2 linked regions of the Mus musculus genome follow. The protein of the gene in region 2 binds, or shares a complex with, the protein of the main gene of each other region. Links are inferred from orthologs where the notes say so. Each region holds a gene or a part of one and is shown on either strand. Other genes may lie near its edges.

Region 1 (4,111 bases), on a different chromosome or scaffold from region 2:
AGGAAGGGGAGAGGGAGAGAGAGAGAGAGAGAGAGAGAGAGAGAGAGAGAGAGATTCTATCCTCTAGAGAACCTTGACGAATACGCTCAACTGTGTCAGTGGCCAGTCCTTTAGAATCAGAGGCATCTCTAATCTCCCAAATTCAAGGGCTACTGAAAGAATAAAGGTCAAGTTCTCCCTCAGGAAAAGTCCTGGGACCTACCACTACTTTATCCCCAGGTTTACTACATATTTTTGTGTAACTACTGCTCCAAAGGCACTTATTCATCCTTGAAACTCAGACTCCAACTTAATTCTTTCAATAATGAAAACTTTTCACTCACTTAACTCCAGTGGGAAGTGACCTATATTGAACAGCCATTCTCGTTTCTTAAATCTAAAAACAAATGTTCCCTTAGTAACATGAGCAAAAGGAGCCGAGAGGTTGGTAACAAAATACAGATTAAAGTACTTAATTGAACAAAGCCACTTACAAACAGCTCTCCTAGCCGGGCAGATGAAGCAAAGAATCAGGTCTCAGCAAAGTTAGCTCTTTGGGTTTTGATACACGAAGCAGTTTCCCAATTTCCCACGCGAAATGGCTCCATTTCTATGCTAGGTATCTAGACAGCTCCAGATTAAAACAAATTCAGTGTCTTAAATGAGGTGGTACTGCGCCGCAGCTGGAGCCAGCAGGAAACTCAATTTGCACTGCATAGAAAGTCAACTACCATTGTCCCCTTGCCCGCCTCTTCGACCTCAGTTCTCACTAGACTAAAATTTGTTCTCTTATAAGTTCATCTGCTTGTCAACTCTAAGTAGCTTCACCTTAGGAAGGGTGCGCTCAGCTAAGATATTTGACCATATTTGACCACAAGGACTTCCACAGACTCTCAGATTTAGCCTTCCACCGGGTTCCTACACTACGGGTGTCTATGTGCTGGGTTCAGTCCAGAGCCTTATTGAAGCCATGCTGTTGTCTCCCTAGTTAGCATCAACCAGTGAAGCTCCACGTTGAAGCTTCACGAGTCTCCACAAGATATCATCCCAACACACACAGAAGAAGGGAGCCAGATCTAGCAAAGACAGATATCTCTTATTAACCAAGCCTTCCACAGCTAAGCGCGTTGACTCCACCCTCTCCACAACATCCAATCAGAGCTCCCTCAACCGGATCTTCTAGGATAGTGCCTAACCCGGAACCTACACTGTCTTTGCCGCCACACCTGGGCGGAGCCAAGTTTTCTACTGGCTCGCGTAGCTGCCCGTCGCGGGGAGGCGGGAGTCGACGGGAACCGGGATGCTAGCGCCTGCGCACATTGCAGCTTGCGGCGCGCGGGAAGCCACTACCGGCGCTTAACCGTTCCTCGCCTCCTGGACGTCGGCTTCTCAGGCGGAGCCTCTGGGAGGAAGAGGAGAACAGGAGAGAAACTCTTCTGGCCCGGGACCGCGACCGGGGCGGAACCCGGGACCGAGTCGCCTTGGCGGCGCTGACCGAGATCGAGCAGGTAAGTGAGCGCTCCTGCCTGGCCGTCTGGCAACGCCGCGGCACCAGGGACCTCTTCCCTTTTCTTAGGCTCAATAAGACATGGATGTTGTCCTTTCCTCCACGTGGTGTCTCTGCAACCTGGCATCAGGCTTTTTTATGTGCAGAACCGTGGCGGTGAGTTTGCCATACCCGGAGGAGAGCAGCAGTTTGGGGCCGGGGGATGTAAGAAGCGACTCCCAGCTGGAAATGAGGCCCGGGGCACGGCTGCCGTTTCTGAGGTCCAACTCCAGGAAACTACAGTATGAACCATGGGAGTGGAGCATCTTTCTGACTCTCACTCTACTATGTTTCGGTCGTACTGCTCTCTCCTTAAGAGAGAAAGATGACCGGGTTCTGTGGGTAGCTGAGGACCAGAAATAGGGGTGATCATCTTTGGGGGCGTGACCAATGTTAGGGCGAAGCATTGTGGCCTAAAGAAGTGGGGATGAGGTGGTTGGACAGAGAAATATGGTTACCTTGGAGAACATTGTTAAGCCAGCATCCCTAGAGCTGTTTTCATATAGAACTGCTTTCAAAAAAATCCTGGAACTTAGTAAGCATAGCTCTGACTCCCTTGCTTCCGTAGAATGAAGCAAGTAAGTTTGTAACTCTTTTTGTAAAGTTGTTACAGTGACTTGTGCAATGATGATTGAGGGAATGTACCTAAACTACTAAGCAAACAGCACTTCAGATTGATTGTTGAGTCGGAGGACCTTGGTGAGAGAGTGGCAAGAGCAGTATCAAGCTGGCTCCGAATTCATCTATAGGGCCAGCTTCCTCCTTGCTCTGTGTGGAATCCATCGTTCATAAACTGATAAGCTTAAAAAAATGAAACCGGGCATGGTGGCGCACGCCTTGAATCCCAGCACTTGGGAGGCAGAGGCAGGCGGATTTCTGAGTTCGAGGCCAGCCTGGTCTACAAAGTGAGTTCCGGGACAGCCAGGGCTACACAGAGAAACCCTGTCTCGAAAAACCAAAAAAAAAAAAATGTTGGCCCAGGCATGGTCGTGCACACCTTTATTCCCAGCACAAAAGGCAGAGGCGGATGTCATGAGTTCAAAGCCAGTGTGGTCTACATAGAAGTGGCAGAAATACATAGAGAGAACGTGTCTCAATAAAATAATAAAGGCTCTTGAAATGAAAAAGCATGTGTTCACAGCTTAAAGTTTTAAGCTTACTCTGTAGAGACCCTGTTTCTGGAAATTGGCAAATAATATAAATTACTTGTGTCCTATTTTCAGTAATATTGATCAGTACTAGGTTCTTTTAAGTGGAAATAGTTAACCATAGAAAAAATTAGCAGCCATTCCTGTTGTAAAAAGAAAAGCCATGCTGCTTATGTGATGGAACTTTAATGTTTTAAGGAACTGTGATCTTCCGGAATCTCCCTGAGACTGTTTGAATGCTAGAGCCTTTCTGCTATGGTGTCATGGCCCTGCTGGTCTTAAATGGTGGCCATTAATGCTGAAGACATAAATTCTAGTTAGTCTTGGGTTTACTTGTTATGGGCATTGTAACCACTGTCCTCCACTCTCCTGAGAAATATGCCATTCCCTGCATCTTCTGGGTCCTTGTTGGATTATTTCATGGTAGTCTTTTCCCATACAGGCACCTGCTCTCCTTTGTTGGGTCAGTAACCACTCACTTCTACAGCGGGAGACACAGGTTTTACTAAGATGAGCCACACCCTGGTTGCCTAGGGGCAGTCACACCTATCCACGCTTTTAGGAAAGCAGACTTCAGGTATCAAATGTACTTTAATAATTATAAATGGATTTTAAAACCCATTGTAAGGTGAACATATTGGACTTTTTTTTTTGACCAAGCTTACTATTTAGCCCAGACTGGTCTACAATTCCTGTCTCAGATTCTCCAGTGTGCTCCACCACTCCTGACTTAAAGTCCCTAACTCAGTGCTGGATGTGGTGGTGCACTGTCTAGTTTAATTTTCTGTTCCTTTTTTTTCTTTTTTCTCTCTCTCGAGGAAACTAAGGATTGGAAAGATGAAATAGGTAGCCATTGAGCTGACTGCCTTTGATTCCAGATCTATATATCATGACCCTGCCTTTAAAATAAATAGGCTTGAGTCTGAGCCTGAAGTCATCTGCCTGTAGTATGTAAATGTTCTGTTACCTATAGAAAAATAGGGTTGGGAGCTAGATGGGTCAATGGGTAAAGGTGCTTTCTGTCAAACCTAACGACCTGAGTTTTTGATTCCTCGGAGGCATGAGATGGTAGGCAGACATGGTAGGCAGGCAGAGAGGACTCTTGCCTGGTCTCCTTTGACCTACAATGAGCCATGGCATGCACCAAATCACATGCACACAAACACTATTTTAAAAATTAAAACTTGAAAGAAAACTTTTCTCACGGCAGAATAGACTTTGAAATTCACTTGTGTTCACTTGACCTTTGCTGTCCTACAGTCCCTGGATCCCTAAGGAGGAGGCGCTCAGGCGGAGGCCTCTTGTCAGCAGAACCAGAGATGGCATCAGTAGATTTCAAGACCTATGTGGACCAGGCCTGCAGAGCTGCAGAGGAATTTGTCAATGTCTATTACACGACTATGGATAAGCGGCGTCGGCTGCTGTCCCGCCTGTACAT
Region 2 (3,569 bases):
TGGTAACATTGTAGGGGCTTCGACATCAAAGGAAATTGGAGGGGGTAGCTCATGGCCATCCTGTGAAAAGAAGTGAATGTAATATGAGAAACTGAAGAAAGACTGGATTTGTGAGCATAGAGAAAAGCTAAAAGACACGGAGAGCGTGCAGGGATCCTATATAAACTTTGTCCACAGGCATTTCTAAGATGAAGATTACCACTGTTAGCAGATTCTCAAACAAATCTACACACCCACATTAGTGGTCACAAAATAGAGGCAAGACCTTGGTTGTCCCTGTTCTTGAGAACAAAATGTTAGACTTACCAGGCGTAATAACTTGGGAAATCGTTCGCGAATGGCGCTGTCAAGAACGGGACAGAAGTGAGTGACGCTTCAGAGCCATCATGCCTCCTGGGCTGCTCTAGGAGCAAATACACCAAAAACCCGAGGAACAGCCCATCCCATCCTGCTTATCGCCCACTCCTCCCCAACTTAAACATGGGGACAAGAACCCCCATTCCCCTCCTCACCAGGGGCACCCCCTTCTTAATTGCCTTGAAGGCTGGCTCTGTTGTCTTGCTGCCTGATCCCGAGTGCCACAGGAGGGCACTCTCAGCCCAGGCTTTAAGCCTAGGGCTGCCTTCCCCACCTTGCCCCCCTTACCTTCCACCTACTCACCTGTGCAGCCCCGGGAGGAGGGAATGGGGTTGGAGCCCAGGGGCTCCGCTGCCTCACCAGGTATCCACCAGTTCTGCCAGGTCTGGCCTTCGCCAAGACCAGAACACACCACAAGTATGGCACAGGATGTTGGGGCAAGGAGATGAACAAGACAGGGCTCAAGGAGGAGGAAAGAAAAGAGACCAAGGGAAAGAGAAATGGAGAAAGGTAGGGCAGGAACAAGAGAGAAATGGAGAGACAAAGAGGAAGCAAAGCAACAGGGACAGACCTGAAGGCAGAGGCATTCAGAAAAGAATGGCAGAAAGAAAGACCTCCTGAAACAGCCATTTCCTTCAGCTGCCCTTTTCCTGTGGTCCCAAGGTAGAAATGAAGAATAAATCCTATAATGATTTGCAGTTGCTGTTGGCCAGGTCTCTGTCTGCTCTCTGGGTCCCGGTCTAAGCTGGGCGTGGGAGGTAAAGTAGCCATGGGGCCAGGAAACCTCCCTCAGAAGACATGAGGATTCAGGCCTCTGCCGAGTTGGGGGGGTGAGGGTCTGTGCCCCACCTCAGTTGGCCCCCAAGTTCTCTCCTGATGGCCCCTCTGCGACTGTGCCTGTCTTAGGTTGTTCCTTCCCTGAGGAATCTTACCCGTCTCTGGCTAACCAGCCATCCTCGGGGCCAAGCAGGGTGACTGTGAGGTGTGCGAGTGAGGGAGGGGCTGTGCCCGACAGGGTCATTTCTCTGTCTCCTTGGTAGCAGATGCCCCTGTGGCCTCCACGCCCAGCACTTGCCTTGGGATCCCCCTCGCCTGCTGGCGGGGCCCCGGCTTTGATCACATCTTAGGGAAACCCAGATTTCTTCTCCAGGAAAGGCCCAGTTCACAGCACTGGGCAAGAGAGACCAATAGCATGGTACCAGCCTCCAAGAGGCATCAACATCAGCATGGGCAGAAAGGACCAGGCCACAGCCTTGGCTAAGTGGATCATGAAAATAAAGAGTCCCTCTTGGTACAACGGCAAGAGGGACCATGAAAGGACAAAGGAAGGCCTGTCTCAGTAGACAGCCCCAGTAAGAAAGGACTTTCTCACAGCCTAAGCACACCAGGCTTTTGCTGAAGACAAACACACAGGTAGGGCATATATAAGACACCTCCACATCAGAACAGAAAAGGGGAGGTGCTCTTCCTGGAATAACAGGTAGGGAGATTCTAGAAAAGGCTGTGTTCAAGAAAGAAGGAGAAAGGCCAGAACTAGAGAACAGAAGTCAGGTGAGAAGAAAGAAGAGATCTGGGACAGAGCTAGGAGACAACAGACAGGCAGAAAGGAATACATGATCCTCCTCCCAAAGAACAGGTGGTTCCAGCTCAGGGCTGCATGTTCTCCTGTAGACGGGCACTGGTCAGGGTGCATGAGCTCAGCCTCCCAGGGGTGAATGTCCCCAGGAGGGGAGACAGAGGCTACAACTGACCTGATATAGCTGGACTGGTCTCCGAAGTTGTCACACATGGGGTTTCTGTCAAGCCACAGCTCTTCCAGCTTCAGCCCTTTTATCTTGTCTAATTCCCGCTCAGTCTTCAACTGTGAAGGATGAGGAGAGTAAAAGGGAAGAAACAGACCTTACTAAGAATAGCAGCTGGATTCCCACACTTCTAAATCCTACCTAAGTTTTGTTTCTTGCTTCCCACTATGGCCAGCCACACTCTCCTGGCTCCACCATCACAGAAACACAGCAGGGTCAGTGTGATGGCTTAGTGGGCAGGAGCTCTCACCTCATAAGCATCACAGCCCAAGAACCCACGTAGAAGGAAAGACTCAACTCCCAACACAGTCTGACCTCCACCTCCATAGTCAGTTAACTATTAAAAACAAAAGCACCCTAGATGTCAGTCTTACTTCGTTTCCGGAGAGATTTAGGGTCTTTAGGTTTGGCGCCTTCTGCACAATGCTAGACATATCATCCAGCTTGTATAGCCTGTTGCTGCTCAAGTTCAAAGACAATAGCTAGGAACAGAACAAAGTTTAGATGTGTTACCACGGGGCAAATCTGTATCTCATCCTATCCTACACATCTCACCCTGATTTTTAATGCAAAAATAAATAAATAAATAATTAGTTAATTAAATTAAAATTAAAAAAAAAAAAAGCTTCACCTCAGGAATGTTCTCTTCAATGATCCGCAGGGTGGCTGCCATACAGCTTCTGCGGTTTAGAACAACATCGATGTTCTGGGCCACCAAATCTGTAGCAAATAGAAAGAAAAGGAAGTCTGAGAGGTCTTGCCCATACCAGTGTTATAAAGACCAATTGTTTCCCCTCTCCAATTAGTCAGAACCATTGTTGTCAGTCATACCTGGGTCTGAGCGGAGCCCCTTGAGGTCAAGTGCTTGTTGGTTGCCATCATATCGTTTGCTCATGATCAGCTAGAAGAAGGAAAACGAAGGGTTTAGTCGTCACTGATGGAGATTGAAAGTCTGCTGGACCATGTCACTTGAGCCAGCCTTACCTTGAGCTGCTCTATTTGTTCGGGCTTCAGTTCATTCTGTACAGTGTAGGGTGGAGCAGAAGCATTGATGATGATAGATATCTGAAGAGAAGACAGAAAGGCAGGAACATAATTGAGGGCAGCCTAATCACCAGCACTAAGACTTAGTCCCTTTTAGTGCACCAACTGTGCCATACCAGGCCCTTGTCCACATACCCTTCTGTTTTCTCGATCCTGGATCTTATGGTTGACACCCTTTAATGCAGAAGCAGTAGTGGCATCCTCCACAAAAAAATGGGCCCGTGTATTTTCATAGTGAAACTGGAAGAAGGAAAACAAACAACATTCAATCTGGAGTCCACAGGTCCTTCCACAGCCTTTCAGGTCTAACTCTGTCTTACCTCGATGGGATTGAAGGGGACACTGCATTTGCTCTGAATCATGCTC

The links. The genes of interacting proteins can lie anywhere in the genome.
Region 1: the proteins of Nxf1 (region 2) and Nxt1 are in contact, whole or in part, in a crystal structure (PDB 4WYK), measured with the Homo sapiens proteins. The link is inferred for Mus musculus from reciprocal best matches to the Homo sapiens genes NXF1 and NXT1. Residues at the interface, in NP_006353.2 of Homo sapiens: Ala366, Pro367, Thr368, Thr369, Leu370, Pro371, Pro372, Cys373, Lys374, Gly375, Tyr377, His411, Gly413, Cys415, Cys416, Ser417, Leu418, Ser419, Ile420, Pro421, Phe422, Arg440, Asn441, Val442, Lys443, Lys444, Lys446, Pro448, Thr449, Arg451; in NP_037380.1 of Homo sapiens: Phe6, Lys7, Val10, Asp11, Cys14, Glu18, Thr44, Val46, Trp47, Asn48, Gly49, Asn50, Ala51, Phe61, Met64, Leu65, Pro66, Ile72, Ser73, Val74, Val75, Asp76, Cys77, Gln78, Pro79, Val80, His81, Glu83, Ala84, Thr85.

What each region holds. Positions count from the first base shown.
Region 1 is NC_000068.7:148,671,349-148,675,459, forward strand, and holds the start of Nxt1 (NTF2-related export protein 1), read left to right. Parts: upstream 1-1,266; 5' UTR 1,267-1,487; intron 1,488-3,115; exon of another isoform or gene 3,116-3,250; intron 3,251-3,933; 5' UTR 3,934-3,992; coding exon 3,993-4,111.
Region 2 is NC_000085.6:8,763,571-8,767,139, reverse strand, and holds part of Nxf1 (nuclear RNA export factor 1), read right to left. Parts: coding exon 3,524-3,569; intron 3,444-3,523; coding exon 3,339-3,443; intron 3,225-3,338; coding exon 3,144-3,224; intron 3,061-3,143; coding exon 2,991-3,060; intron 2,880-2,990; coding exon 2,791-2,879; intron 2,642-2,790; coding exon 2,534-2,641; intron 2,219-2,533; coding exon 2,109-2,218; coding exon of another isoform or gene 1,865-2,108; exon of another isoform or gene 344-1,864; coding exon 307-343; intron 61-306; coding exon 1-60.